Linked DNA regions of Bombyx mori. The protein of the gene in region 1 interacts with the protein of each later gene in a pairwise test. Links are inferred from orthologs where the notes say so. Each region holds a gene or a part of one and is shown on either strand. Other genes may lie near its edges.

Region 1 (3,939 bases):
ACTGATATAGTGTGAATTATTTTCTTTTATTCTTTTAAGTTTTAACCAAATTTAAGTGTGGGCTAACACATGTAGCCACGTAACCTATTTAGTATTCGAATAAGTTCACGATTGTGTGAAATGGAAGAAAATGGGAGACAATAGGTTGCTAGAGCATTGTGAGCACTATACAAAAACTATTATATCAGTCGTCGTGGCCTAAAGGATAAGACGTCCGGTGCATTCGTATTGAGCGATGCACCGGTGTTCGAATCCCAGGCGGGTACCAATTTTTCTAATGAAATACGTACTCAACACATGTTCTCGATTAGCTTCCACGGTGAAGGAATAACATCGTGTAATAAAAATCAAACCCGCAAATTTTAATTTGCGTAATTACTGGTGGTAGGACCTCTGTGAGTCCGCGCGGGTAGGTACCACCACCCCGCCTATCTCTGCCGTGAAGCAGTAATGCGTTTCGGTTTGAAGGGTGGGGTAGCCGTTGTAACTATACCTGAGACCTTAGAACTTATATCTCAAAGTGGGTGGCGCATTTACGTCGTAGATGTTTATGGGCTCCAATAACTACTTAACACCAGGTGGGCTGTGAGCTCGTACACCCATCTAAGCAATAAATAAAAAAAACAATATGTGATTATAAGTTCGGGTTGTAAGAGCTGTCTGTTTTGGTTTGTCTGATAAATATTACGTACATTATTTATGGTCTGGGTTCAAAAATAAAAGTCGACTTTTTGGCGGAAACACGAGGAGTGAAGTTGTGTGATTAGTTTATTTTGTCTATTTAATGTTTGTTCGGATTTAAATGTGTAATAACGGTGCTTTATTGAATGTTTAGTATCTGCGAAAGTGAACAATGTGAGAAAATTAATTAAAGCCGCTGAATGTAGGTTCTCGTGATCCTCCAAAAAGTCCACTGAAAATCTCAGTAAACGACCACTATTCTATTGAGATTATATTTCATCCAATATCATATTTTTCTCATTCATTTCATTACATGCCATGCTTCATATTAATCAACGTCATTTCATTTCATAATATCATTTTTCATATAAAAAAGTTTTCATTAAAATAAAAATAAGACTTGACTTAAAGGTCTTAGTTACCAGGCCATAAAATCCCATAATAAAAGTCGACTTTTCGGCGGGAACGCGAGGAGTCAAGTTGTGTGATTTGTTTTATTTTGTCAATTTAGCGTTTCTTCAGGTTTAAATGTGTAATAGCGGTGGTTTATTAACTGTTTAATATCTGTGAAAGTGCACAAATGTGTGAAAATAAAACAAAGCCGCTGAACGTAACTCCTCGGGATCCTCCAAAGCGTCCACTAAAAAAATCTCAGTAAATGACCACTAGTTTACTGAGATTATATTTCATTTCATATCATCTCATCTCATTTCATTTCATTTCACCCCACTTGATTATTGTCTCAAATGAATCATCTTCATTTCATTTTACTCCACTTATCATTTTTCATAAAAATAAGAACATGAATTAAAATAAGACGACCTAAAGGTCTTAGTTACCAGGTCATAATCCCTCATCAAAACAAAAGTCGACAAAATATAACCTGAAATAAAAAAGTGCTTCGCGTTAAATACACTTGATTATTATAGATACAATTTGTTTTTTGATTGTGGTATGCTTGGAAATTTAATTAATATGTATGCAGCTAAATTTTTAATACACCGGCGAAGTCCTGTTTTCTTGTTGAATCGAGTTTCCATTACGACTAAGAAGAAAGTTCATGACCCAAGTGAAGAGGAGCTTTTACCAAGTAAATAAATACACAATCAATACATACTTTTTATAATATCAGTTTCATAATCATCTTTAATTAATATAACAGGATCAGGCATAATAAATAAAAATGAATTAACTCTGCATTCTAGACTTCTTACAGTCCTTTTGTATTAATCAAAAAAACTTTTTTTTTCAAGTTTTTAATTCTCAATATAAATAGAACATTAATTTTAATAAATAAATTAAATTATCAAAGATAACATTATAAGAAACTTCTCACTATTTAGTTAGGTTATAGAACATATTAGGGCAGTTGGCACAAATTATTAAATGTTTACATGATGCCGAAGTAACAATACTACTGGGGCCTATAAACAGATACCAATATAGAAGTGACTTTTCATTTTGAGATAAAGCTTAGGCAAAATAGATCAGAGTTTTTACTATGAAATGAAGTACATACTATGTATTTCTCTATGTCATAATCTACGCTTTACAGTTTTGAAGAAAAAGGGATAGGAAGTTGAATAATGGATGAATTTATTAAAACAACAAATATTTAACTTACTAAATGAAGAATGATTCCTATTACTACAGTAATATAATCCTATAGGATTGGAGGTTACTTTCATTCTGAATTTAATTAAACAACATGTAAGTTCCTGCTGAGACAGTAAATCGACTTTAAACTGTGTTGTGTGTCCCACAGTATTCCAGTATCCAATAAGCAAAAGTACAGACAGACGAGTCTATGTGTGGGGATTTGCTGAGACAGGTGCTCTGGGTATCCACCTCCCACGTGGCAAGAAAGGGAAAAAAAGTTACAAAAACAACTTCAAATTGGTTTGGCATCCAATGAGGTCTTCTTTTGCAGAGAGATTTGATGTAAGGACTTTTAACTTTAATTTACCAATACTTGTTTAAAAGAAAAATAAACAATTTCTAAAAAGTTGAGATAATTAAAACTACATTTTCACCATTTAATTAAGGGTTTTTGTCGTTATATTATTTCTGAGTTATTGAATACTTTGGTTATTGTAGTCAGTTGCTCATGACAACTGTAAAGTTAGAAACACTTTAAATACTACACATATATTTAAACTTCAGAATGTCTTTAACTTTTTTCATTGCTTAAATAGGTGGACAAGCTCACAGCCCACCAGGTGTTAAGTGGTTAACGAAACCCACAGACATCAACAATGTAAATGCTGCCATCCACCTTGAGATATGAATTTTAATGTCTCTGTTTTTAAAGTAATGTGGCTGCCTTACCTTCGAATTGAAACACATTACTGCTTCACAGCAGAAATAATTTGTTATGTTTATTATTGTGTAGGAATAGGCCTTTGAAAATTCTGGCTGTTATATAGCAGATAGATACTAGTGCTAAATATACAATTAGTGTAATCATATACAATTCTTACCACGACATATGCTTAACATTGCATCCTCTGTCCCTGTCCAGCAACTTAAACTACCTCTAATGGAAGCATTCAATGAAAGTGAAGGATCTGTCAAGTTTCCAGTAGTATATCAGGCCTATAACCTGAACAATATATAATTTACGTAGTAACTCAGATCTGGTTACTTGCAAAAATCACTAGACAATAGTATTAATGCTAAGTCTAATTTAGTAGATTTTAAGTATACGCTGTGCACGCTAATAAAATTCAATCTATTACATTAGATTTTTATTTTATATTCTTATATCATGTATAACATTAGCTGAATAATGAAAAACTGAATTTTCAGATAACAAACATAGCCTGTGGCTACGGTTTCACAGTAGCCTCAATAAAAACTTCAGAGCAGCACAAAGTTTTCGGTACCGGTATCAATACAGATTCCCAAATTGGATACCATTCACCACGACGAAATCATCCTTTGGAACTTCTGCTTAGCTATGCACCTATTTATATACCTTACAAGAGCTTGGAGTGTGAGGTTAGTAATAGTTTTATTTGCCGAAGATTTAGTGGTATCCATAGTGACTCAAACAACAATTTTGTAGTAATAAAAATAATAAGTATTCAGAAGGAAATGTTAAAGGATATTAAATAGAAGTAAGATCAGAAATGTTTTGATACTTTTTACCGATTCGCAGATTAAAGCAGTGGCAGCGGGACGTGCTCACACAATAATCCTGACCGACAAAGAAGGTGTCTATACATTAGGTAACAATGCATATGGTCAGTGCGGTAG
Region 2 (3,722 bases), on another chromosome or scaffold:
TAGTCGCTGACGTGTTGTCCCGTCCTCCTTGTGCCAGCGCGCTAGAGTGATGGTAGGTAGCGTGCGGCGCAGCCTCAACCCCCTCAGGTGAGGGAGTTGGCCCGGGGGAGGCCCCGTGACCATCACCGGGAGGAGACTGCCTCCTCAAAAATTCAATGGTTGTCCCAGCCTTCGAAATGAAACGTATTACTGCTTTATGGCAGAAATAGGCAGGGTGGTGCTACCTATCCGTGCAAACTCACAAGACGTCCTACCATCAGTAATTATGCAAATTATAATTTTGCGGGCTTTGTTCTTACTACACGATGTTATTCCTTTACCGTGGAAGTCAGTTTAGTTGATATGTACGTATTTCATTAGAAAAATTGGCACTTGCCTGCGCAATTCGAACATCGTTACATCGCTACATACGAATGCACCAAACGTCATATCCTTTAGGTCACGACGGCTATAAATCATTTGTTTAAGTTACAATTTTTTCACGTGTAGCCCCGATCGCTTTGTTTGTGTAATGAACTTTTAAAAGAGACGAGAACGCATTTTTTTTTTTTTATTGCTTAGATTGGTGGACGAGCTCACAGCCCACCTGATGTTAAGTGGTTACCGGAGCCCATAGACATCCACAACGTAAATGCGCCACCCACCTTGAGATACAAGTTCTAAGGTCTCAAGTATAGTAACGACGGCTGCCCCACCCTTCAAACCGAAACGCATTACTGCTTCACGACAGAAATAGGCAGGGCGGTGGTACCCACCCGCGCGGACTCACAAGAGGTCCTACCACCAGTAATTACAATTATAATTTTGCGGGTTTCATTTTTATTACACGATGTTATTCCTTCACCGTGTAAGTCAATCGTGAACATTTGTTGAGTACTTATTTCATTTGAAAAATTGGTACCCGCCTGCGGGATCCGAACACCGGTGTATCGCTCAACACGAATGCACCGGACGTCTTATACGTTAAGCCACGACGACTACAGCATACGCATACTTAAAACGAATAAAACGACGAACTTTTGTCAAACTACAATACGTTCTAAAACTTTCGACTACGTTTCATCTTCTATTGGAACACTTTAAAAGAATACTACTATTAATTGATTATATACCTATTGTGAAATAATGATTTCATGGATTTAATTTTGATTTTGTTCGGCCTTAATCATAATCAATAAAAGGCTCTATGGTTTGATACTTTCGCTTTTCCAAATTCCAATTAGAAAAACGGAACTACCACTACTTCCGTGCTGTGTGTCTAAACATTTAAATAAATATTTCATTCAATACATAATATGAATAAAATAAGTTGTTTTTCACAATGCAAAAGCTTCAGCTAACATTAGCGATAGTAAAACCCCACGCCGTTAAGAATCCTATAGCATTATCATACATCCGACAAGCTGTAAAGAGCAAATTCGTTGTTATAAAAACTAAAAGAATATTGTTGGATGAAGACACTGCAGCAAAGTTTTATAGAGAGCATGTAGGGAAGTTCTTTTACAACCGTCTAGTCACATTTATGGCCAGGTAATTAAATAATACGTAATAACCTATCATGAATTATAGTTACATGTACGTGTAATTTTAAATTTCCTGGGAATATTTAGGTTCTAGTATATCTCTATTAGATTCATTGTTCATAGTTGAAGTAAGGAAGAGTCACTTTGCAGGAGTTCTATGTGCATTTTTTGGCTGATGATGAAGGAAGTTCAACCAAGTTACTTATGTTACATTTAATCTTTCGAGAATATTACTTTATTACATTAATGGTGGTAGGACCTCTTGTGAGTCCGCACGGGTAGGTACCACTACCCTGCCTGTTTCTGCAATGAAGCAGTAATGCGTTTCGGTTTGAAGGGTGGGGCAGCCGTTGTAACTATACTTGAGACCTTCGAACTTATACCTCAAGGTGGGTGACGCATTTACGTTGTAGATGTCTATGGGCTCCAGTAACCACTTAACACCAGGTGGGAGCTCGACCATCCAACTAAGAAATAAAAAATAAAAAACTTTTTTATGATTGAGTAGATAGTGACTGTTGAACACAAATAAAGCAATTATTACAGTGGCTGCATAGATTTGCATATCCTTGGACACATGAGAGCAATACAGATGTGGAGAAAAATGCTAGGTCCCACAAGTGTATACAAAGCACAGTTCCAAGACCCGTACTGTCTCAGGGGGCTGTTTGGTATTTCAGATACAAGGAATGTTGCACATGGTTCAGGTATAAATAAATATATTGATAAGAATTATAACCAGTAACCACTTAACACCAGGTGGGCTGCGAGCTCGTCCACACATCTAAGCAATAAAAAAAAAAAACCTATATATACTGGGTATATGATAAATGTATATACAGGGTACAATGTACTCCCTTTAAACTGGTAATAACAGCTTTTGACATACAACCTTACAATTCCTCAATGATTTTGCTCTCTTAGTATATTATTAAAATTATAAAATTTATGAAAAACCAATTATTCATTTTAAACTGGTTTGTATTTTTTAATTTCAAATGGCCAAATATCTGGTTACTGATAGTAAAATATGGGGATGGTGTGGAATTATTCTTTTTCCTTTCAGATTCCCCTCAATCAGCAGAAAAGGAGATCAAATTCTTTTTCCCAGATTTCTCCATGTATCAGTGGTATAATGATGATGAACCCTGCTACAGGAAAGGACCAATAATATTCAACAGCCACTTGTTTCAACATGTTAGAAGATTATAGTGATAAAACAGTTATCTTATTGCAATTGAATAGAATTTACACAAAATTATTATATTCACATTAAGTTGACATAACTTAATAATAATAATTCTTTAGTAGACAGAATATACAATAAACATTTTTTATGTTAATTCAACACCGCTTGACAGTTCCAGCTATTGTTTAATCGGACATATTCCAGCAAATTTGCAACTAAAGTAGGTACTACTTTGTTTAGAAAGGAAATTGAAATAAAAAAAACAATTATTTTTGTGATTTCTTAACTACTTTTTTGTGCTCATAATCTATTGTGTCATAATTTAAATAGTTGTTTGTTATTTATACCAAATTGTTTAATTATAAATGTTATTTGTTATGTTAAAATGGTATTTTCATTTCATAATTAGAAAAATTCTTATAAGGTATATTTTATACAAAAAAAAATCAAATACAAAGAGGTTTCATATATATTTTCAAAAATACAACAAGTAACTAACAATTATTGTGAGACTAACATTATAAAGGAAATTAACTTACAGATTGAGATCAATTAAGTATTTTTTTACATACAATTTATGGACGGATAACTTGTTCGAAAAAACAGTTAATTTATTCTAAAATACCCATGTGAAAATGACTATTTGAAAACATTAAATTTCAACAAATTTTAAGACATTTTGAAATTATAGTGACATTTATTAATCAGAATAATGAACACTAAAAGAATTAGTTTGAATCTTCTTGATTAATATAATTTTTTATATTAGTTATTCAAAATATTGTTTGTGTTCACAAACTAAGATTTTATTTAATTCCAAACGCTTCTTAGGAGATCAACAACAACCCTGTCGTATTATTCACCAATTTTGACAAAAACTTTTGGTCGTGAAAAAACTTTTATACCCTCTTCTAATTTTGCCAGTTGTTTCTCTAATTCCATCTTTTTGTTGCGCATCTTGAGAGTGTCAGTCTTGACCGGCAATTTGTTTAAATCATTGACAAGTTCCG

Evidence for each region.
Region 2: the proteins of RCC1-like G exchanging factor-like protein (region 1) and nucleoside diphosphate kinase 6 interact in binary tests that used the Homo sapiens proteins (3 or more experiments, as listed by UniProt). The link is inferred for Bombyx mori from reciprocal best matches to the Homo sapiens genes RCC1L and NME6.

What each region holds. Positions count from the first base shown.
Region 1 is NC_085111.1:18,487,875-18,491,813, reverse strand, and holds the start of RCC1-like G exchanging factor-like protein, read left to right. Parts: upstream 1-1,514; 5' UTR 1,515-1,635; coding exon 1,636-1,771; intron 1,772-2,446; coding exon 2,447-2,622; intron 2,623-3,489; coding exon 3,490-3,681; intron 3,682-3,841; coding exon 3,842-3,939. UniProt on the Homo sapiens protein: Guanine nucleotide exchange factor (GEF) for mitochondrial dynamin-related GTPase OPA1. Activates OPA1, by exchanging bound GDP for free GTP, and drives OPA1 and MFN1-dependent mitochondrial fusion. Plays an essential role in mitochondrial ribosome biogenesis.
Region 2 is NC_085109.1:1,111,916-1,115,637, reverse strand, and holds nucleoside diphosphate kinase 6, read left to right. Parts: upstream 1-1,195; 5' UTR 1,196-1,321; coding exon 1,322-1,530; intron 1,531-2,069; coding exon 2,070-2,230; intron 2,231-2,589; coding exon 2,590-2,735; 3' UTR 2,736-3,098; downstream 3,099-3,722. Other genes in the region: uncharacterized protein LOC101739724, read right to left, coding at 3,568-3,722. UniProt on the Homo sapiens protein: Major role in the synthesis of nucleoside triphosphates other than ATP. The ATP gamma phosphate is transferred to the NDP beta phosphate via a ping-pong mechanism, using a phosphorylated active-site intermediate. Inhibitor of p53-induced apoptosis.